Coturnix japonica: one gene and its partner. The protein of the gene in region 2 binds, or shares a complex with, the protein of the main gene of each other region. Links are inferred from orthologs where the notes say so. Each region holds a gene or a part of one and is shown on either strand. Other genes may lie near its edges.

What was found.
Region 1: POLR1C (region 2) and POLR2E share a complex: the UniProt entries of both Homo sapiens proteins name them as parts of the pol I pre-initiation complex. The link is inferred for Coturnix japonica from reciprocal best matches to the Homo sapiens genes POLR1C and POLR2E.

Annotation. Positions count from the first base shown.
Region 1 is NC_029543.1:2,008,988-2,013,208, forward strand, and holds the start of POLR2E (DNA-directed RNA polymerases I, II, and III subunit RPABC1), read right to left. Parts: upstream 2,843-4,221; 5' UTR 2,764-2,842; coding exon 2,707-2,763; intron 2,634-2,706; coding exon 2,459-2,633; intron 1,770-2,458; coding exon 1,654-1,769; intron 1,382-1,653; coding exon 1,301-1,381; intron 1,154-1,300; coding exon 1,095-1,153; intron 945-1,094; coding exon 866-944; exon of another isoform or gene 618-865; coding exon 552-617; 3' UTR 539-551; intron 262-538; 3' UTR 1-261. UniProt on the Homo sapiens protein: DNA-dependent RNA polymerase catalyzes the transcription of DNA into RNA using the four ribonucleoside triphosphates as substrates.
Region 2 is NC_029518.1:27,798,726-27,802,862, reverse strand, and holds the start of POLR1C (DNA-directed RNA polymerases I and III subunit RPAC1), read left to right. Parts: upstream 1-1,279; 5' UTR 1,280-1,322; coding exon 1,323-1,391; intron 1,392-1,464; coding exon 1,465-1,536; intron 1,537-1,632; coding exon 1,633-1,740; intron 1,741-1,831; coding exon 1,832-1,964; intron 1,965-2,524; coding exon 2,525-2,644; intron 2,645-2,859; coding exon 2,860-3,012; intron 3,013-3,147; coding exon 3,148-3,297; intron 3,298-3,823; coding exon 3,824-3,940; intron 3,941-4,137. Other genes in the region: protein YIPF3, read right to left, coding at 545-590, 672-778, 853-1,059, 1,130-1,192. UniProt on the Homo sapiens protein: DNA-dependent RNA polymerase catalyzes the transcription of DNA into RNA using the four ribonucleoside triphosphates as substrates.

The DNA of each region.
Region 1 (4,221 bases), on a different chromosome or scaffold from region 2:
ATCTGAGAGAACAGGGCAGCAAAAGCCTCTTCCTGCTCATTTCTTCCCTGTGTCATTCAGTTGCTTCGAGGTGTTTTCATGGCGTTCCTGATTGAAGCAGAAGGATTTGCAGCAAAATCCGTGCTGGGAAATGAGGAACTGGGACAAGGAAAACAACTGCAGGGGGGCAGCAGGGACAGAGAACTTCCTCAGCCATCGAATGCAGACAGCTGAGAGCTGGTGGTGGGTGGGAAGATCAGATGTCACAGAATTCTTTCACAACTGGAAGAAATAAGTCAGGACGTGAATGAGCTCATGTCTCCCTCAGCAGCTGCTCTCAAAGCAAAGCCCTGCTGCTGCTCTGAACATTGAGATGTGCCTTCAGCTGTGATACTGAGGCACCAAACCCTAGTATAGCTTTGCTCTGATCCATCCCATACAGTTCCCTTCGCAAATCAGGAGGGAATCCTTTCCCAGAGCCAACTCACTTCAAGTCACCCCTAGAAAACCACAGCATAAGTTTAAAGCACTGCCCGTAGATGGGGATCTCACACATTACCTGAGAGCTCTGATCACTGCACCAGCCTGTAGGTGATGTAACGGCCTGCGGTCTCACTCGGTCTTATGATCTTCACCACCTGGAAGGGCAGCAAAAGGAGCAATGGGGGATGGCTGGTGTTACAGCAGCTGGTTCAGCAGGAAGCCAAGCCTGGCCCCAGGGCTATCTGCTGCCTTGCACACATCTCTACATAACCCATAACGTTCAGAAACAAAAACACTAACAAAGAGGAAACCTTTCCCATCTCCAAGCTCTGACACACTGTGCTGCAGCTCCCCATCCTGCCTGCAGGGCCCTGCTGTTTGTTATCAGGCTATTTGCTCTTACCTGGCCTCGCTTTATCCCGAAGTATCGGGCCACAGGATCCCCAGCCTGGATCCTGGGGAGTTGGTTCTCCCTCAGCTTACTGCATGGAGTCAAGGAGGAGCTCTGTGTCTGCTTGTCCTGAGGCAGGGCACAGCTAACAGAACATCACACACTCAAAGGAATCCATTTCTTGCCCAAGACAAGCACTCATCACACCCTGACTGCAAGGGAAGGACCAAACAAAGGATACTATCTGGCCAGCAGCTCGGTTACTTCTTCTTTTGTCATGACAACGTGCTCTGGGACCAGCTGTAAACAGGAGAGAGAAAGAGAGATCATAAGAGTCTGAGAAAGCAACCAGCTCTGCATAGCTGCAAGACTTGGGGGGAGGAACAAAGCTCTGGTGGGGAAACCCAGCACAGGGCAGGGCTGGGAGGGCCGGCCTGAATCACTCACCTCGTGTTCTGTGATGTTGATCAGGAGCTCCTGCTGTAAGAACTGCTCCAGGATGTATTTGGGAGCCATATCGACCAAGGACTGGGAAGGGAGAAGCACATCAGGTTGTAGCACTGATATGAGACAGTGTGAGCTCAGAGATGCCCCAAGATGAACAGCAGCAGGAGGGCAACACGGTGTCTGTGCTCACATTGATATGGTCATATGGGCAGAGAGGAAACAGATCTCTGTGCCCAACCAGCACCAGCTCAGTGCACTCAATGTATAAGCCCAGTATTAAGGCACAGAGCCTGAACTCTGCCTTTATGGACCCAGCACAGCTCAAAGAGCCCCGGGGCCACATCACACTGTACCTGCTTTGCCGATGGGGTCATTCCCTGCTGCACCACGATCAGAGCCCGCGTGATGTTCTCCTCCTGCATGCGCTGGCAATACATCTTGATGGTTTTAATGCCGACTTTGGGTTCCTCTGAGGGAGGAAAAGAGCAGGGTGAGATTGAACCAGGAGCACCACCAGACCCCAACCTGACCCCAGCCCAGTTCTAACCTGGTCCCAGCCCAGTACTAACCCGGTCCCAGCTCGGTTCTAAGCCAGTCCCAGCCCAGTCCCAACCCAGTTCTAACCCGGTTCCAGCCCGGTCCTAACCCGGTCCCAGCCCGGTTCTAAGCTGGTCCCAACCTGGTCCAAACCTGGTCCCAGCCCGGTTCTAACCCAGTCCCAACCCGGTTCTAACCCGGTCCCAGCCCGGTCCTAACCTGGTTCTAACCCAGTTCTAACCCGGTCCCAGCCCGGTTCTAACCCGGTCCCTACCTGGTCCTAACGCGGTCCCAGCCCAGTTCTAACCCAGTCCTAACCCGGTCCCAACCTCGTTCTGACCCGGTCCCAGCCCGGTTCTAACCCAATTCTAACCTGATCCTAACCCGGTTCCAACCTGGTTCTAAGCCGGTCCCAGCCCAGTCCCAACCCAGTTCTAACCTGGTTCCAGCCCGGTTCTAAGCTGGTCCCAACCTGGTCCAAACCCGGTCCCAGCCCGGTTCTAACCCAGACCCAGCCCAGTCCCAACCCGGTCCTAACCTGGTCCTAACCCAGTTCTAACCCAGTCCCAACCCGGTCCCAGCCCGTTTCTGACCCGGTTCCGACCCGGCCCCGTTTCTCACCGGGGAAGAACACGAACATCTGGTCCGTGGGATCATCGTTATGTGCCACCAACACGGTCAGGTCCGTTCGGCGCGGGCGGCCTTCGCTGGGTTTATCCCCGAACTGAGCTTTAAACTCCTCCAACGTCTGATCCAACTCGTCCTGAGTCACCAGGTAACCGCGGTCATGGCACAGCTAAAGGGAAATACAACATATGAGACCTGAAACCGGACCGAATCGAACCGAACCGAACCGGGCCGGCCCGCACCTGCATGATGGTCTTGCGGATCTTCCACAGCCGGTACGTCTCCTCCTCGTCGTCCATGTTGCCTCCTGAAGGACCCCACGAGGCTGCCCGCCTCAATGCCTGTCCACAACGAGCAGGCGGGGCTGCCCTGCGAGGGGTCCTTGACCGCGGGGAACGCTGGGAGATGTAGGCGGGGTGGAATGGCGGAAGGACACCACCCCCTTGTTGACACTGCAGCAGCCTCGCTGATTTGATTGGTGGTTTCGCCTGTCTATCACCCAAGGGAGCGGCTCGCATTGCGCAACTGCAAGAAGTGGGCGGTGCCTTCGCGCGTCCTAATCGCTGATTGGTCAAAGGGGGGGAGAGCGGTGGCGGGATGGGGTGGGGGTGGCGTTGCGGGCGGGCGCTGCTGTGCGGGGCGGCGGCGGCGAGAGGAGCGGGGCGGACAATGGTGAGTGGGGGGGGACAGAACAGAACCGAACCGAACCGAACCGGGTCGGTACTGGGGGGGTTGGGGGGGTTCGGAGCCGCTTTGTGACCGCTGGGCCCCGCAGTGCGCGCAGGCGGATGAATGGCGATCGGCCACCTCCATCTATGACTTCCACGCCACGGATATCGACGGCCGAGACGTGGCCTTGGAGCAATACAGGTCTATTAGATATATATATTATATAGACATTATATAGACATTATAGAGACATTATATGTACCATACAGCAACACAGCAATGGGCTGTATTATATACCCCCCCCCCCATTTTACCCCCGCAGAGGTTCCTTTTACCCCCTATTTTACCCCATTTTACCCCATTTTTACCCCCTATTTCACCCCTTTTACCCCCTATTTTACCCCATATTACCCCATATTTTACCCCATATTACCCCTTTTACCCCCACAGAGGTTCCTTTTACCCCCTATTTCACCCCCTTTACCCCCTATTTTCCCCATATTACCCCCACAGAGATTCCTTTTACCCCATTTACCCCCACAGAGGTTCCTTTTACCCCCTATTCTACCCCATTTACCCCCACAGAGGTTTCTTTTACCCCCTATTTTACCCCATTTACCCCCACAGAGGTTCCTTTTACCCCCTATTTTACCCCATTTACCCCCACAGAGGTTCCTTTTACCCCCTATTTTACCCCTCCAGGGGTTTCGTCTGCATCATCACCAACGTGGCTTCCAAATGAGGAAAGACTGCAGTGAATTACACTCAGCTTGTCGACCTGCACGCACGATACGCTGAGAAAGGGCTGCGCATATTGGCCTTCCCATGTAACCAGTTTGGGAAGCAGGTGGGCACCTCAATGCAAAGATATGGGGTTGTGTGGGGTTTACACGTGTGATACCTGTTTTTCCCCCCCCCCAGGAGCCTGGGGATGATGCACAGATCAAAGCCTTTGCGGAGGGTTACGGGGTGAAGTTCGATATGTTCAGTAAAATTGAGGTCAATGGGGACGGCGCCCACCCGCTGTGGAAGTGGATGAAGGAGCAGCCCAAAGGCCGGGGAACGTTGGGGAAGTGAGTGGTGATGGA
Region 2 (4,137 bases):
CCAGGCTCTCCACCCTGAGAGACATAACGAGCATCTTGGAGACTTTTATCACCCGAGGAGCATCTGCAAGGCCACTGCTGACAGAAGCCACACAGAACAGACTGTGATGAGTCAGAGTGGTGTTCAACAGGATGCAGAAATGGGCAAAGTGAGGTCTAGAGTTCTACAACTGTACCAGCGTTAAGGGTAGCAGGAAGGTAAAGGCAGCGCTGGCACAGGCTGTGCAGGGCAGCGGTCACAGCAGTGAGCTGGCTGGAGTTGAAGAAGCATCCGGACAATGATCTCAGCTATATGGTCTGATTTATGGGTGGTGCTGTATGGAGCCAGGTGAGCCTTATGAGTCCCTTCCAACTCAGGATGTTCTATGATTACAATTCTATGAGAATGGGGTTTGGAACAACCATAGGAAAGGGTTTACTGATACTTTGAGGGAGGTGAACATCTAACAGACTTGGATCCTTAATAACAGGCTAATTACATCTGAGGGGTCTCTGTGGAACAGTCACTCAGGCTGTGGGGTCTGGTTCAGTGAGAGAGAACTCACCTGTGGGAAACTGATCATCTTGACGGGCACCATGGACTCCAGCAACCTGCATTACGGCACAGCGGGGAACGACATCAGGACAGTCATTAAGAAGCAACAGATCCCGTGCACCCGCTGCCCTGCCCACCTGGTGCGCACTTGGACGGGCTCCACGTCGAAGTATGGCCGCAGGATGTCGATGTTGGCGTAGAGGCTGAACGCTTTGGACGCCTGTCGCTTCCCCACCTGCCACATCTGCGGACAGAACGGTACGTGCAGCGGCGGGGCCGGGGCCGGCGGGGCTGTTGGCGGCTCGTGAGCCCACTCACCTGGTCGGCCACCTGCCGGCCCAGCTGCCCCTGCAGCCCCTTCATGCCCAGGAACTCGCCGTCCTCTTCCCCGCCGGCCCCCGCCTCGCCCTCCGCCTCCTCGTCCTCCTCCTCCTTCATGCGCTGGTGCATCTCCCCCATGTCCTCGAAGCTGGAGCCCGACGTGTCGTCCATGTTCTCCATGTCGATGACGGCCGAGCCGCCGCCCTGCTCCGATGCACGGATCGTCAGCGCCCGCTCGGGCCCCTCTGTCCCCCCCCCCGCGGGCCGGCCCCACCTGCACGTTGTCCTCAAAGCCGCCCCACTCGGCGGTGCCGCTCCTGCCGCCCGCCGCGGCCATAGCGCCGGTAACGGGGGACGGCAACGCGGATGTGACGGTCCGGCCGCTCCGTGTCTCGCGAGAGCCGTCAGTTCCGCATGGCCGCCTTACGTGCGGCGGGGCGGGGCGGCGGCGCGTCCTTCCGTCGGCGATGGCGGCCCGGCGCGGCACGGACGAGATGCGGGAGCGCGTGGTGCTGGGCGAGTTCGGCGTCCGCAACGTGCGTGGGGCGGCGGGACGCGGGGCGGCTCCCGCATCACCCCCCGCTGCCTCACGGGCTGCGCCCCCCGCAGGTCCACACCACTGACTTCCCAGGCAACTACCCCGGGTACGACGACGCGTGGGACCAGCGGCGCTTCGAGGAGGTGAGTGGGAGCTGATGGAGATGATGGAGCTGATGGAGCTGCTGCTGCGGGGCCCCTTGTTCGGCTCCGTCGTGACGCGGCGCGGTTCCCGAGCAGGGGTTCCGCGTGGACGTGGTGCGGGAGGAGGACGGCGTGCTCGAGTTCGACATGGTGGGCATCGACGCGGCCATCGCCAACGCGTTCCGCCGCATCCTGCTCGCTGAGGTACCGCGGGGCTGGGAGACATGACGAGTGGATGGTCCCCGTGCGGTGCCCTGCTTGGCGGCTTATCGCCTCGCTCTGTCGTCCCCCCGAGGTGCCGACCATGGCTGTGGAAAAGGTGTTTGTGTACAACAACACGTCCATCGTGCAGGACGAGATCCTGGCGCACCGACTGGGCCTTATCCCCATCCGGGCCGACCCGCGGCTCTTTGAGTACAGGAATCAAGGTGAGGGGCTCGGGTCGAACAGCGGTGGGGAGGGTGGAGCCCATAACCAGGAGCTGGGGTCACACCGTAGGATCATGAAGGCCATCAGGTCCAACGATCCCACAACATACAGGGACTCCTACATCTGACCAGGTGCTCAGAGTCCTGCCCAGCCTGGCCTTGTAAGTCTGCAAGGACAGGGCATCAGCCGCATCTCTGGGCAGCCTGTTCCAGTGCCTCACCACCCTCATTTTCACCACTCTCACTCAGTAATAGACTTTTTCTTTATCTCTAAAGTAAATCTACCCTCTTTAAGCCTCAAACCGTTTCCCCTTCTCCTATCACAGCAGACCCTGCTGTAGAGTCTGTCCCTTTCTTTCTTGCATGCTCTTCCTAGGTGCAGAAAGGCCGCTTCCAGGTCTCCCTGCAGCTTTCTCTTCTCTAGGCTGAGCAGCCCCAGCTCTCAACCCATCCTCGTAGGAGAGATGTTCCATCACTGGGTCATTCATGTGTCCCTCCCCTGGATACACTTCAACAAAGCAGAATTCACTTCCATAAAGATACTGTTTTGCCATTTCCAGGAGATGAAGAGGGGACGGAAATTGATACTCTGCAGTTCCAGCTGAAAATAAAATGCAGCCGGAATCCTCAGGCAGCCAAGGAATCGTCTGACCCAAACGAGCTGTATTTCAATCACAAAGGTGAGAGCTCCTTGTGCCTGCCCTAAAAGTAGGTGCAGCTTTCTGCTTTTTCTCTTGTTCATTTTCTTCTTTCTCTCTCTTGGTGTTTTGCCTTGTGAGCAGAGACAGCTCATTTCCTCACAGTATACATAGCTTGCTTGTGCCATCTCCTATTCAGGTCAGCAACCTGTTTTCTGAGGCAGCAGCTGGCTGATGCTCGTGGTTTCTTTTGGCAGTGTACAGTAAGCACATGACATGGGTTCCCTTGGGGAATCAGACAGACCTCTTTCCGGATGCTGACTTCCGACCTGTCCACGACGACATCCTTATAGCACTGTTGAGACCTGGGCAGGAAATAGATGTGCTCATGCACTGCGTCAAGGGTGTAGGTGAGTGCTGGGTCTGAGCTGGGGAGTGGGTGTGCTGGTGCTTGGACTCGAGCACAGCTGTGTGATGGGAAACACTGGAGAACTAGCTTGACCCCAAGGCCTGTCCTCATCCTTAATTCTGAACTCTTTGTGCAGGTAAAGATCATGCCAAGTTTTCTCCTGTGGCCACAGCTAGTTATCGACTGCTTCCTGACATCACTCTCCTGCAGCCTATCGAGGATGAGGCAGCCGAGACGTTACAGAAGTGCTTTTCCCCTGGAGTCATTGAGATCCAGAACGTCAAGGGTACTTTCTTTCCAGCTGTAAAGTGCCTCGTTCCTAACAAGTCTTAGCAGTGACTGAATAGAGACAGTAGAGATTGTAGTCAAACCTTGTTGGGAAAATAACACATTGCGATGTTGTCTTGCTGATCAACAACAGTTGGTGCTGTTTTGAGCCTGGTTGTAGTGGCTGAGTGGCTGTCACACACAAATGTTTTTAGCAGTGAACTGAGATCTCCCTGAAATGCTTATGTGTTGCATGCCTGTCTGTAGAGCCCTGTGCTACTGTTAGGTGTCTGGGTAGCGAGCTTGCTCTTTGTAACAGCTGAGCACGGGGAGGACTTGTGTCCTGCCCAGGAGCACATACAGGCTTTGTGTTTGGCTTAGAACTGTTCGAGGAAATGAATTCTGCCAAGCTGGAGTTTCATGTTAGGGATGTGCTAATTATATGTGGCTTTGCTGCCTCTGCTGCTTGAGGGGTAAGTACTTTTTGTGACCCCAAGGTGCTCATCTGCTGCCGGTGCCCACCTTGTTTTGTCTTCTCCTTTTAGGAAAGAAGGTGGCAAGAGTAGCCAACGCACGGTTGGACACGTTCAGCAGGGAAGTCTTCCGACACGAGGGTCTGAAAAACCTGGTGCGCCTGGCCAGGGTGCGAAATCATTACATCTGTAAGTAGCCTGTTTTGTGCAGAGCAGAGTGCCCAGCCCGATTCTGCTTTGTACAAACAAGCAGGGGCTGGCCAGTGTGCATACCTTGGTCTCAGTCTTTCCCTTCTACTTGGCATCGTTATTCTTCCTATGTTTGTATTCCTCTGGGGAGCTACTGAGATAGTGGTTTGGTGCAGCTTTGGGGTAGGATGTGTTTG